Canis lupus familiaris: one gene and its partner. The protein of the gene in region 2 purifies or fractionates together with the protein of the main gene of each other region. This does not show direct contact. Links are inferred from orthologs where the notes say so. Each region holds a gene or a part of one and is shown on either strand. Other genes may lie near its edges.

Region 1 (6,058 bases), on a different chromosome or scaffold from region 2:
AGGCTCCCGGTGCATGGAGCCTGCTTCTCCCTCTGCCTATGTCTCTGCCTCTCTCTCTCTCTCTCTGTGACTATCATAAATAAATAAAATCTTTAAAAAAAAAAAAAAAAAAAAGAATCAGACAGACCAGGTTCCAGTCACAGCGCTGTCACTCTGTGACCTTGGGCAAATGACCTCACCACTCTGAACCTCAATGCCCTCTTCTGTAAAATGGGCTAGTTAACCTGCCCATGGGGCGCCTGATTGAGGATTCAGCAGGATTCAGCAGGAATGCCCAGCGATTCCTGAACACACAGGAGTTCTGAGCAAATGCTAGCCATTTTTGTGATTACTGACCCGGGACTGACCCGCTCGGACGCAGCTGGGTGGGCATAGGGCTCCCGCGGGTCTCATCCCTTCCTCCCAGAAAATTGGGGGTCCAGGGCAGGAAGGCCCGGGCGTTGCTCGCTCGCCGTCTCCAGTGTCGCCGCGCCCCCTAGCGGCCGTCGGTTGCCATGTCAACGGCGGGCGGCTGGGGCCTGGGGAGGCGGCGGCGGGGGCCGTTCTCTCCTCCCAGGACCGGAGGCCGCTCCCTCGGCGCCTCCCGCCTTTCCCAGCGGAGGGGCACTCCGAGCCGGGGAGAGGGCTCTCCGCGGCAGCTAGCATGGGGGGGTAAACTGAGGCACGCGACAAAGCGCTCCGCAGCCAGGTGTCGAGCTCGGGGCCCCACCTCCGAAGGCGGAGGAGGGGCCGCGGGCGGTGACGCGCCGAGGGCGGCCGGCGGACAGCGGGCGGCGGCGGCGGCGGCGGCGGCGGCGGCGGCGGCGGCGGCGGCAGGTGCGGCCGCGGAGGGTGGGAGGGAGGAGGGAGGGGGGCGGGCGGAGGGGGAGGGGAGGGCGAGGCCAGGGCACCTCCCCCTTTATAACGCGCCCCCTCCCGGGCTCTCGGGCCACCTCCTCGTCGGCTCTTCCCATCTCGCCCCCTTGCCCGGCCGCCCCGGGCCCGGGCCCGGCCAGGGAGACCCCAGGCCGCGGCTCGGGGGCCACCCCCCCGCTCGCCGCCCCGCGCAGCCCGGCGGAGGCGGCGCCGTCGGAGGAGGAGGAGCAGGGCACTGCGGCTGGCCCCGGATCGGGCGCCAGAGCGGCAGCGGCTCCGGCAGCAGCGGCGGCCCGGGCCGATGCAGCGGGACGCACCGCCCCGAGCCCCAGCCCCGGCGCCCCGGCTCCCCGCGCCCCCGATCGGGGCAGCCGCCAACAGTGGCGGCGGCGGAGGCGGGGGCAGCGGCGGCGGCGGAGGCGCCTCTGCAGCTCCGGCTGCTCCTGGCCTCCCGGGAACTACAAGTCCCAGGGGGCCTGGCGGCGGGCGGCGGACGGAAGAGGCGGGGTCGGCGCCGCGAGGCCGGAAGTGGCCGTGGAGGCGGAAGTGGCGCGGCCGCGGAGGGGCCTGGAGCACGGCGGCGGGACCCGGAGCGGGAGCAGCGGCGGCGGCGGCGGCTGGGGGCGGCGGCGGCGGCGCGCTGGAGGCGGCCATGGCAAAGCAGTACGACTCGGTGGAGTGTCCCTTTTGTGATGAGGTGTCCAAATATGAGAAGCTCGCTAAGATCGGCCAAGGCACCTTCGGGTAAGGCTGCGCCCCCGGGGGACCAGGCGCTCTGGGCCTGCACCGCTCAAATCCGACGTCACGATGCCCAGGGCCGGGCCCGAGGTGGTCGGGAAGGCCATGAGCGCCAGACGTGTCCCCTGGTTTTGCTAGGCCGCGCTGCGGCCCGCCTGGGCCTGACCGAGCCGGCTGGCGGGGAGGAGCCTGAGGCCTGTGATGGGGGGCGGGGAGGGGTTACGGAGAGGAGCCAGTGGTGGGAGCGGGCTCTCCGAGAGACGCCTGAGTGAGGAGACTGAGGGGAGGAAGTAGAGGCTCGAAGCTCCGCAGATAGCGGGTGGCAAGGTAGGGCAGTGCCCTGGGTCCCCGGCCCAGCCCCGCCCGGGGAATCCCTTTTTTCTGCCCCCCTCCTCTGGTGGGGGAGGGGCGGGCCCTGCAGAAACGGCCTGATAAAACCTCTTGGGTCTCCCTCTCGGCCTGCAGGGAGGTATTTAAGGCAAAGCACCGTAAGACCGGCAAAAAGGTGGCTCTGAAGAAAGTGCTGATGGAGAACGAGAAGGAGGGGGTGAGTATGGGCCGGGTGGGCGGGCCTGCCAGCTCCCCTGGGCTCGGGGTTGGGTTTCCACCCTGCTTCTGCTAGGGCTCTCGTCTGGAGAACCTGTGTGTCTGTGTGTTGGGGGGGGGGGGGTAGTTAGGCAATTTCCGTATTCGGGGAATTTGGCTTCCAAATTGAATTTTTTAATTCAAATGTTTTAGAGCTTTTGATATCCCACTCTTAGGTAAATACGGTTGGGGCCAGGAGGGGGAGCTCATGCCTGCAGAGTGTGCCTTAGTTCCTGAAGTTAGGAAGCCTTTAAACACGGTTTCCTTAGCATTCATTTTGCATAAGGCGGAAAGAAATTCCACTTGGTGGTTTTAAGGGAGTGGCTGGTACTCAGTTGAAAAGGAGCAGTCCCCTCCCTTGCCTCATTGTAGCCCTAGTCCAGCTTCCCAGAGACCTGCTTAGCAAGGACATTTCCTTAAATAGCTGTTTGTTTCCACCTAGTAAGTTAAATACAGGTATAGAGCTAAAACTTAAATATTGAAGAAACTGTGGAACATTTATTTAGTGACGAGTAGTGAAGTGTGTAGGTATTAAGTCCCACTGTTTCAGTTCATTGTCTCAGAGCAACTCATTGAGGGGCACATACTATTTTTACACCCATTTTACAGCTAAGACATCTGAAATGATGTCAGAGCCCGGGACCTTACTCGTTTGCTGCACCTGTGCCCCTTGATCTGGACCACACGGTTGTTCATTGGTCTGTTCATTGGTCTATAGTTGACTCGCTCACCTCAGGCCCCCTCTTGCCTTTCTCCTACCCAGTTCCCCATTACGGCTTTGCGGGAAATCAAGATCCTCCAGCTTCTGAAACACGAGAATGTGGTCAACTTAATTGAGATCTGTCGAACCAAAGGTAGGTTCTTTGGCTCCTGCCCCCCTTTACAGATGGGGAAAATGAGGCTTACTGCCTAAGGCTTTGCAAAGTTGGAAGTGGACACACCTAAATTGCCTCTTCTTAACCCAGACAAACCGACTGTGACTGCTCTTGGGTCCTTCCATCGTAGCTGTTGCTCCTCGAGGGCCTGCCACAGCACCCAGCCCAGAGGAGGCACTCAGGAAATAGTTTTCCAGTGAAGGAAGGCACAGCCGAATATCCCAGTGTCCACGGGCTGGAGGGGTAGAAGCTGTGTGGGGAAATGAGTTGCACGTGGGGTTTTTTACTTTCTTTTTCTTACTCCTCCCCCATTCTTCCCTCCCAGCTTCCCCCTATAACCGCTGCAAAGGCAGTATATACCTAGTGTTTGACTTCTGCGAGCACGATCTTGCTGGGCTGCTGAGCAATGTCTTGGTCAAGTTCACACTGTCTGAGATCAAGAAGGTCATGCAGATGTTGCTCAACGGCCTCTACTATATCCACAGAAACAAGGTGGGGGTCAGCATGGGGTAAGAGAGACCCGGGCTGGGGTGGGCCTCGGCTCCCACCGCTGGGTGGGTGCGACTGAGGGTTCCCCTTGGAAACCTGATTGAGCCCTCTTGCGCTTCCTGCAGATCCTGCACAGGGACATGAAGGCAGCTAATGTGCTCATCACTCGCGATGGGGTTCTGAAGCTGGCCGACTTTGGGCTGGCCCGGGCCTTCAGCCTGGCCAAGAACAGCCAGCCCAATCGCTATACCAACCGTGTGGTGACGCTCTGGTACCGGCCTCCGGAGCTGTTGCTCGGTGAGGACTCCCGAGCGGGCGGAGTGGGGCAGGGGCTGGGCACTTACCCGGCCTCAGTCCCCCACTGCCAGGGCTTCTTGAGCCGCCGGCCCTGGGGCATTGCGTCTCAGGAGGCCCTCGGGCTCAAGGGGCCCTCCTGGTGCGCTCTTCTTCCCAGGGGAGCGGGACTACGGCCCCCCCATTGACCTGTGGGGTGCTGGGTGCATCATGGCCGAGATGTGGACCCGCAGCCCTATCATGCAGGGCAACACCGAGCAACACCAGCTTGCCCTCATCAGCCAGCTCTGTGGCTCCATCACCCCTGAGGTGCGTGGCCAGGCTGCCTGGGCCCCTGGTCCCCACAGGACGCAGAGATCCAGAAGTCCTCCTGGCAAGGGAGGAGTGGGGAGTGAAATAGCAGGAAAGTTCTGGAGAGGTGGCTGGTGGAGGGACAGGGGCTGCTCTTTAGAGTCGCATGGGCTATGCTTGAGTCTCACTTCCATCACAGTTCATGGCCCTGGGGAGGGCGTTTGCATCCCTCACCTCGGAGCTGAGTTTCTCTTCCGTGAAACAACTATGCCTGTATCAGGCTTGGTGGACATATTTCAGATGACCACGTAAAAGGGCCTGGCGCTTGGTGTGTGCCAGACATGTGGTCACTGCTGCTTCTACCTTGGAGAGGTCAAATTCACCCTCCATGGGTGGTCTGGGAGCATCTGAAAGGAGAAGCTGTAGTCCCTTCGGGTGCCTAACCAGGGGACAAGCCACACACCCCCTGAATTAAGACCGTCTTCTTCCCGTGCCTCCTGCCCAGGTATGGCCCAATGTGGACAAGTATGAGCTCTTTGAGAAGCTGGACCTGGTGAAGGGCCAGAAACGGAAGGTGAAGGACAGGCTGAAGGCCTATGTGCGTGACCCCTACGCGCTGGACCTCATCGACAAGTTGCTGGTGCTGGATCCTGCACAGCGCATCGACAGTGATGACGCCCTCAACCATGACTTCTTCTGGTCGGACCCCATGCCCTCGGATCTCAAGGGCATGCTCTCTACCCACCTGACGTCCATGTTCGAGTATCTGGCGCCGCCACGCCGGAAGGGCAGTCAAATCACCCAGCAATCCACCAACCAGAGCCGCAATCCTGCCACCACCAACCAGACGGAATTCGAGCGTGTCTTCTGAGGGCCGGCTGCCCACGCTTTTCATTAGGGCAGTTTCATTTCTTTTTCTGCTCTGTGACTTGCATTGTGGAGATTGTGGGGCATTTGAGTTTTCTCTAGTGCTTATTTCATTTACTCCCCACCCTGGGCACTGGGAATGCCCGCTGAGCGGACTGGAGCAAAGCTTTGGCTGAAAGTCCAGGAGGGCGCTGAGGCCCCTCGCCTTGTTCCCTGGCTTTCAAGATGATGCCCAAAGGTTCTCCGTTTACTTTCACGCAAGAATGGGATAGGAGGAGAGGCACACCCCACCAGTGACTTTCTGAGCATGATGGGAGGAAGGGACAGGTCCCTTGCCTGTTGCCAGCCCTCCTCTCGGGATGAGAAACTTGTGTGGGGGACAGAAGCAGCCTCAGGAATGGGCTACTCTTGGCCCAACCCTCAGAAGCCTGGGGTTGGCAAAAACTTGGTTTCTTCAATAGAGAATTTTATCGTGTTTCTTTTGTTCAGTTTGGAGACATTCCTGGACGCAGTTTGGTCAGTTATAATTAAAGTTGACTTTTTTTTTTTTTCCAGTAAGTGGCTATGTGCTGTGTTCTGTGTTCAGACCCCCCCAGCTCTTAACCCTGTAGCTGGCACATTGGGTCTAACCATCGAGATTGGATTTGTCAAGTCTTGACTCTTTTCTTCATCCCAGTTCATGTCCCCAGACATAATTGCAGAGTACTTTTGTCTGTTGGAGGGTTTGTGTGAGTGTGTGTGTACCTTCCAGAACACTGTTGTCATGCTCCTGCAAAAGCAGGTGCTGTGATGCTCTTTTGCTCTCCCTGTCCACTTGGTGTCCAAGGGAGAGTAAAGACACATGAGGCAGGATCTTAGTTCCCCAGAGAGAGGGAACTGGGGAGGGCCTGCTGTGAGCTGCATCTGCAATGGTGAATCCATGTCCCATGGCTGACAGAAGTGCTCAACCTTGACTCATGAGCACAGAAGGCTGCAGAAGGCTCTCGATCAAAGTGACAAGAGTTAGATCTGTAACTTGCAAAGGTCCTTCAGGCTGCTGAGTAGTTGGTGGCCAAGGGGAGGCA
Region 2 (7,646 bases):
CATTAAAATTTGTTAATCTTACTTTCAAAATAGATCCAGATTCCAATCTCTTCTTACCATCTCTACTACTACCTCCCTCCCTAAACCACCAGCATCTTTCCCCTGAATTATCACAAAAGCCACCAAACTGGTCTCCCTGTTCCCTTCCTTGTTTCTTGGAATCCATTTTCAACACAGCAGTCATAACAATCTTCTTAAAACACAAATCAGGTCACGTGTTTTCTCTGCTCAAAATCTCCAATGTGATTTCTACATACTGCAAAAGAGTGATCTCCCGAGATATAATAATAAGTGAAAAAAAGGAAGGTGAAGAAAAGTGTGTGTGGTATCTACCATTTGTCTGAGTAAGAGAAGCATAGAAATATATATGTATCTGTGTATATTTTTAAGTGAAAGGATAAACCATAAAAATTTTTTTCTAAGGTTTGTCTATAGGGAGAGGAGAGGAAGACAACAGAAGTGTCAGGGAAAGAATCTAGACTTCTCTAAATGTACTACCTATTTGGTAAATTTTGGCTTTGAAGCCATGCAACTGTTCCACAAAGCATTTTTTTTTAAATTTTATTTATTTATTCATGAGAGACACACAGAGAGACGCACAGACACAGGCAGAGGGAGGAGCAGGCTCCATGCAGGGAGCTCGACATGGGACTCAATCCCCGGTCTCCAGGACCACACCCTGGGCTGAAGGTGGAGCTAAACTGCTGAGCCACCTGGGCTGCCCACATAAAACATTTTTTTAAGCAACGCCTAAGAATCCAAAGCAAAAAGAAATAAACCTGACTATCAAATTAGTGGATCCCACAGAGAGGAACTACTGCAAGTCACGGTTTATTTATTTATTTTTAAGAAATCTCTACACCCAACATGGGGCTCAGCCTTACAACCCTGAGATCAAGAGTTGCGCGCTATACCAACTGAGCCAATCAGGTGCACCCCTCCCTAAATAACATTAAAGCAATGCAATTTAACTATACACACCTAGAGAGATATACTCTAAGGGCAAAAAGAATTATTTAAAAAAAAGCAGAAACTATTATCATTAAGCATATGTTTAGTAATCATTTTAGTAATGTTATTCTGAAACTATTTTATATATACAGTAGGGTAAAACAATTATGTTAATTTTGTTAATAAATTGTTATTGCCATATGTAATTATGTTAATGCCATTAGGCACCAAGATTTTCAGAAGAGATATGCATATAAAAATCAAAGTTAAGTAAAATCTGTGTAATCCTAAATTTGAGTTGAAAAATATTAATGTAAATGCATGGTGCATTTTCTCAAAAAATATGTGTGTATATCCAAATTTTTTAGTTCTGTTGACTAAAGAGGCTTACAAACAATAATCAACCCAGTAACAATGAATATTTATTTGTAGCATCCAGATTGTTTTCTCTAAAATATCGCTTTCCCACTTAAAGGAGGGCTTCTTGGAGAAATGACTGATTCCAAGTCATTCCAAATGACTTGGAATCAGTATATCTAGAAAAGTACTAGATGAATCTACAACATCTTGTCACACCAGAAATTTGAGTCACCCTGGGTAGTGGATTCTGCTTCTGCTGCTCAAAGTAGGGTGTTTGGTTCAGGACAATTCAAAGAGCTGTACACTTACGGTGTATGCATCTTTCTCTATGTGTCCCATACTACAACTAAAAATTTGTTATCTACTTTTTGTCGTGGAAGATGTCAAACGTGTTAGTATAATAAACATCCAATTCCCCATTATCCAGCTTCAACGGTGATCAGAAATGGCTATTCCCATTTCATCTATACTCCACCCACTTCCCTCTCTCCAATATTTGTAAGCAAATTTCATTTATCCTATCAGTTTGTCAAAGATTATGGTTAGGGGCTCAGTCCGTCAAACCTCTGCCTTCACCGCAGGTCATGGTCCCAGGTTCCTGGGATCTAGCCCAAGATCCAGCCCAGTGTGGGGCTCCCTGCTCAGGGAGAAACCTGCTTTTCTCTCTCCCCCAGTACCCACCCCCTATCTTGCTAGTTCTCTCTCTCAAATAAATAAATAGAATCTTTAAAAAAAAAAAAAAAAAGATTATGTCTTGGGACGCCTAGGTGGTTCAGCGGGTTGAGCATCTGCCTTTGGCTCAGGGCGTGATCCTGGAGACCCGGGATCGAGTCCCAAGTCCGGCTCCCTGCGTGGAGCCTGCTTCTCCCTCTGCCTGTGTCTCTGCCTCTCACTCCATGTCTCTCATGAATAAATAAATAAAATCTTAAAAAAAGATTATGTCTAATCCATAATCTACGTTAAACACATCGTCTAAACACGCACATACATAAAAGCATACATAATACACAAAAGAAGTGCTGTAAAGGCAACTTACCGAGGATCACACCAGACCTCCCCAGGACAGTGTTTTGGGGGTGGGGTGTGGAGGTAGGGGGCAGAGTTCAAAGAAAAGTTTCGAGTGTGAGTATTTTTGGAGCGTTCCCAAACTCTCCCTTCGACAGTCTCCCGATTTCCCATTGTTTTAAAACCCTGTCACCCTTTTATTTAACGTTGCCATTCCCAGGATACTCTTCTTGTGTTGGGGATGACTACACGGGGAATGAGACTGAGTGGGGAATAAAATAAAGCGGTTTAAAAGGCACCTCACCTCCGTTATTTTGGAAGAATAGGGAACGCCCTATTCCGTCACAGGGTACCAGCGATGCATCTGCCTTAACTGAAGCCTTAGTCTCATGATAACCGCGCGGTCGGCTTAGGACAGAATCGCACTCTCTTGTCCAAAGAACTACGAATCCCAGAAGGCCGTTCGGCCGAGGCGCCTGCGCATCGCGTGCTCCTTCCTTTCCCCTCCTCGTCCAGGGGAAAGACCCGCCCCGCGGTGCTGTCGCTCGCGCTGGAAGAAGCGGAAGAAGATGGCGCTCACCAGGTGGGTTGTTGATGGGGGTCCTCGATACGGAAGGGTCTGGGAGTACCCACGTTTTTTATTTCTCTGCCCACTGTCTCCGGGCGGTGACCTGGCGCGGGGCACAGAGCGACATGGGCTGGGACCGCGGCTAGGCCCTCCTGCAGGCCTCCGGGGCGACTAGGCCTCACGGAAGCTGGGGTCTTTCCTCAGCGGTTTCCCGGGTCGAGTTCGTCCCCTCACGAGGGCCGAGAGCCTTGGCGCGACAAATAGTTCTCCGGCCTCGGATGCCAAGGAGTCGCATCCCGGGGTTGTGGAGAGCGCTCCGAGCGTCCGGTCCGCGCCTCGGGCGGGCGCGGTGGGGATGTGGAGGGCAGTGGCTTATTTGTCTGGACGAAGTGAAGCGGCGGGAGCCGACGAGCCGGCTTTACCGCCGTGTGTCTGCCGAAGTCTCGTCTGTGCCCCGAAACCAGGATTCCTGAAGAAAAAAAAAAAAAAAAAAAAGATGTGAGGTGAGGGGCCCGGCACCGAACACAGATCTTTTTTTTTTTTTTTAATTGGCCACTGTCTACTAGTAATGAGCCGCTGCTCCGCACTTTTAACTTTGGACCTTAGAATTTCTTACGTAGATAGAACCACTTCAGATTTTTGCTGTTCTCGGTTGCCTTGGTAACCGCGTGTAAAGTGGTCCCCGCCTTTGGGGGGGGGGGGGGAGAGAGATTCCGAGGAGTTACATAACTCCTGCTAGTCCGCGACCTGCTGCCCCATCTGAGAAGAAAAACTTCCCGTATGCGGACGCAAGCAGGAAAAGTTGAGTTGTCAAAGATGCCTGTGAGGGAAATCGTTTTTGGGACATCGGCTTGAGCTCCCTAAACATGCTTGATTCTCCTCACGCTTCTTTTTCCTGGCTGATGGCAGTTATGGATCCCACAAAACGTTTTAATCAGAAAGTTTTTGGGGGGGAATTAATTTTGGGTGCCTTGCTCTCTCTATATCCTAGGGCCTGTGTGTATACACACACACATACACACAAAAAGCCACCTAACAGTCTTTGCAGGGAAGGTAGGGTCCAAGGCATACAGATACGGAAGAAAGAACAGCACAGAATGCTCACTTGTGTGGTAGTAACCTTAAGTGCAAAAAGAATTAGACTGAATAAGTTGGATGAACTAAGGAGTTCAATTTAGTAAGCAGCAAACATTTGAGTGCGCCTCCAGGTGGGAGGCACTGTGGCAAAGATTCCCAGGGTTGTGAGGGAAGGTATTTGTGGAAAAGGACACAGGGAAAATAACAGATCTTGTGGGTTATTGTGGGCTTAAAATTGCAGCGGCAGAATGCAGTCCTTAAATGGCTAGTCTTGGAGGCTACATAGTTTTCTGATTTCAGTGAGCTCTGGTTGATTTGATTGCAGGTGAAGTGTTACCTTATCTCCAAGACCTACCAAGGATTACTTAACGGCAGGGACTTAACATATTGATGTGTTGCAGTATTGGTGTCACCAGTTATTGTGACTAACTAAAGATTTGAGGTCATACTGATTTAGTCCTCTAAATGCAACTGTATTTGGGGTTATGTATCTAATAATATTACTTGCATTTAATATGCTTTATTTGGTAAAGGGGAAAGGGTAGACCAAGGTGTCTCAACAGTGGGCAGTCCCCGTGGCTCAGCGGTTTAGCACCGCTCAGCCCAGGGCGTGATCCTGGAGACTTGGGATCAAGTCCCATGTCCCGCTCCCTGCATGGAGCCTGCTTCTCCCTCTGCCTGTCTCTCTCTCTCTCTCTCTGTCTGTCTTGAATAAATAAAATCTTAAAAAAAATAAAAATAAAAGATGTCTCAACAGTGGCACTGTTGAGGTTTTGGACTGGATGATTCATTCTGGTGTGGGGCTGTCCTGTGTATAGTAGTAGGATGTTTAGCAGCATCTTTGGCCTCTATACATTAGATGCCAGAGGCACCTCCCTCCCCTTCACCCATTCCCTATCCCCTAAGTCTTGACAATCATGTCTCCAGACATTATCAAATACCTACATTGTAGTTATTTTGCCACCCAGTTGAGAACCACTGAGGTAGACTTTCTGCTTACATATACAGCCCACAGCCCACTATGTACCCCTTTCCCCTATCCTGCCACCACAGGAGTGTGCCTCTTGTGGGAATGTCATCTTTTACAAGGAAAAGCAAAATTAAGACCCTCTGGAAGGCTAGAGTATGTTCAGACCCTAATCCAGGCCAAGTTACTTGTTTACTGTATCGTCTGGACCCTTTGATTTGGCAGGCTGCCTGCCTTTGGATCATCTTAGTAATCAGTTCTTACAGCAGAAGGTAAAGAATAGAGAAAATAATAAGTATTTTGGCTTCTTTACACTATCTTTGTATCCTTCCTATGAATTGGGTATATGAGTTATACTGAATAGAATTATGGTAAAAGCCCAAAACTTTTGACTCCAGTCCTCCATCCATTCATTCATCATTCAACAAATACTTGTTGAAGATCTACCATGTGCCAGACACTGTGCTGGTTTTACAGTATTAAATCAGTGCTGGTTTTACAGTATTAAATCAGTCTGGCAAACTCCTTTATTTTCGAAGAGCTTACAGTCTAGGAAAGGCAAACTACTTATCTATCTGTATGTAAACAAATCAATAATGCAATATCAGGTAGTGATTAGGAATAAAATAAAGATAAAAGGACAGAGAATGACTCAAAATGTGGAGTGGGGTGGTGGTGTTTTGATTGAGATGGTCAGAAAACAGCTCTGGGGAGGTATAATTGAGCAGAGAAATCAATGCTAAGAAACAAGGACTAAAAGATCTAGGGTGGGGGCACCGGCTGTCTCAGTAGAGCATGAGACTTGATCTTGGGGTTGTAAATTCAAGCCCCATGTTGGATGTAGAAATTACTTAATAAATCTTTAAGAATGAATGAATGAGCGATGCCAGGGTGGCTCAGTGGTTGAGCATCTGCCTTTGGCTCACAGCATGATCCCAGTTGTGGGATCGAGTCCCACACCGGGCTCCCTGAGAGAAGCCTGCTTCTCCCTCTGCCTATGTCTCTGTGTCTCTCATGAATAAATAAATAAATAAAATATTTTTTTTTAAATTTTCTTAAGAGTTTACTGTAAAAGCACTGTAGGAAAGGATGTGCTGTGAGCTAGACAATGCCTAAAGAGTTAGGGATGAAAGAAGCTGAAAGCATGATTCCTGCAAGTTTCTGGTGAGAAAAAGAAAGGTAAATGAGTAGATAATTCTAAAACAGTAAGACAGATTATAATAGTGGTATATAGGGGGTCTTGTGGGAGCATGGTAGGTGCAACAAACCCAAATTGGGGGGAATTGTGGAACAGATCCAAATAATCAAGTATGTATTGAATAATATTTAGACACTGTGTGAAGGGGGTTCATCGATTTTCTCATTTAGTACTTAGAGCAACTCTGTGAGGTAGGTCATCTTTTGATCTGCCTCTACAGATGAGAAAACAGGTTCAGAGAGGTAGGTAACTTATCTGGGTTACTACCTTGCATAGGTAGGATTTGAACTCTGGGTTCTTATCCATCATAGTACCCAACTCTAGAATAGATCCCTCTTGTGTATAGCCCTCTGTATTTTTTCCTTCAGCTTTAATACAATTTGTGATTGTGGATTTGTATGAGTAATTGTCTCTCCTCTGCAAGACGTAACCGGTCTTTCTCAGTTTATAGTCTCACTGCCTACCTAGCACAGTACCTGCACCCAAGTGCTCAATAAATATTTTGAATAAATAAGTTCTGTTGCTTACTGAAATATGCTTACTAACCAAGAATTACAAAGAAACCTTAACTTTTCCATTAAATGTATTATTTATTACTGGAATCCTTTTGTGGTACTTTGGGATATCTCTGTAGTAACATTTATCACACTTCAAAGTTGCTAAGAATTGCTTGGTAGAAAGGCTGCTTTGATTAAAGAGTAACAAAGTACATATTTAGGATTTCTGCTTTGAATCTTTGACTTCCTAAGTTTTAAACTGCATTCTAAATTAGATACCTTTGGTAAAACACACTTAAATATGCAGTTTATATTTTCTTTCTTTTGTCCACCTCTTTGTTACATTCAGTGCTAATCCTTGTTTTTTTGTATTGATGCTAAAATAGTTAAAAGTAAGAAGCATAAGAGTAAAGCAGTTAAAAATAAGGAGTATGAAAGTAGGAAAGACACTAGTGCAACTGTATATTGGACAGTTGGCCACTGGTAACTGAGAATGTTTCCTTGTTATAAGAAAGGAAACGTAGAAGCATAAAAACTCAATAGTTTATTTATTATATGAAATACTTATTAATTTTTTATTTGGGCATCATTTGCCTGCATCCTAGTCAAACGTGTTTTACTGTATATCTCTGAGTACTTATTTCTTTCCAGACAAAATAAAATGACTGATATTTAATACTGCCATAAATCATTGACATGTTTGACCTGCTAAAGAGAAAAAAGTATTATGGTAAAATAGCCTCTGATGGCCAAATTGCAATGATCTAATGTGAGAATTTTTTACAATTCTGACTTTCATTATCTTTGCTTATAGCTTTTTACCTGCACCTACTCAGCTATCTCAGGACCAGCTTGAGGCTGAAGAAAAAGCAAGATCCCAGAGATCAAGACAGACCTCACTGGTCTCATCCCGAAGAGAACCTCCCCCATATGGGTACAGGAAAGGCTGGATACCTCGATTATTAGAGGTAAATAATTGTGCTAACACTTATTATAATACCCTTGTAAAATAAATTTAAACCA

What was found. The genes of interacting proteins can lie anywhere in the genome.
Region 1: the proteins of SNW1 (region 2) and CDK9 purify together in Homo sapiens (affinity purification with mass spectrometry; 4 studies listed by BioGRID and IntAct, with this or other methods). This does not show direct contact. The link is inferred for Canis lupus familiaris from reciprocal best matches to the Homo sapiens genes SNW1 and CDK9.

Annotation. Positions count from the first base shown.
Region 1 is NC_049230.1:55,702,638-55,708,695, reverse strand, and holds CDK9 (cyclin-dependent kinase 9), read left to right. Parts: upstream 1-1,439; 5' UTR 1,440-1,507; coding exon 1,508-1,599; intron 1,600-2,058; coding exon 2,059-2,140; intron 2,141-2,941; coding exon 2,942-3,032; intron 3,033-3,378; coding exon 3,379-3,545; intron 3,546-3,667; coding exon 3,668-3,839; intron 3,840-3,996; coding exon 3,997-4,145; intron 4,146-4,632; coding exon 4,633-4,998; 3' UTR 4,999-5,552; downstream 5,553-6,058. UniProt on the Homo sapiens protein: Protein kinase involved in the regulation of transcription.
Region 2 is NC_049229.1:50,825,749-50,833,394, reverse strand, and holds the start of SNW1 (SNW domain-containing protein 1), read left to right. Parts: upstream 1-2,741; 5' UTR 2,742-2,885; coding exon 2,886-2,899; exon of another isoform or gene 2,900-3,371; intron 3,372-7,437; coding exon 7,438-7,591; intron 7,592-7,646. UniProt on the Homo sapiens protein: Involved in pre-mRNA splicing as component of the spliceosome. As a component of the minor spliceosome, involved in the splicing of U12-type introns in pre-mRNAs.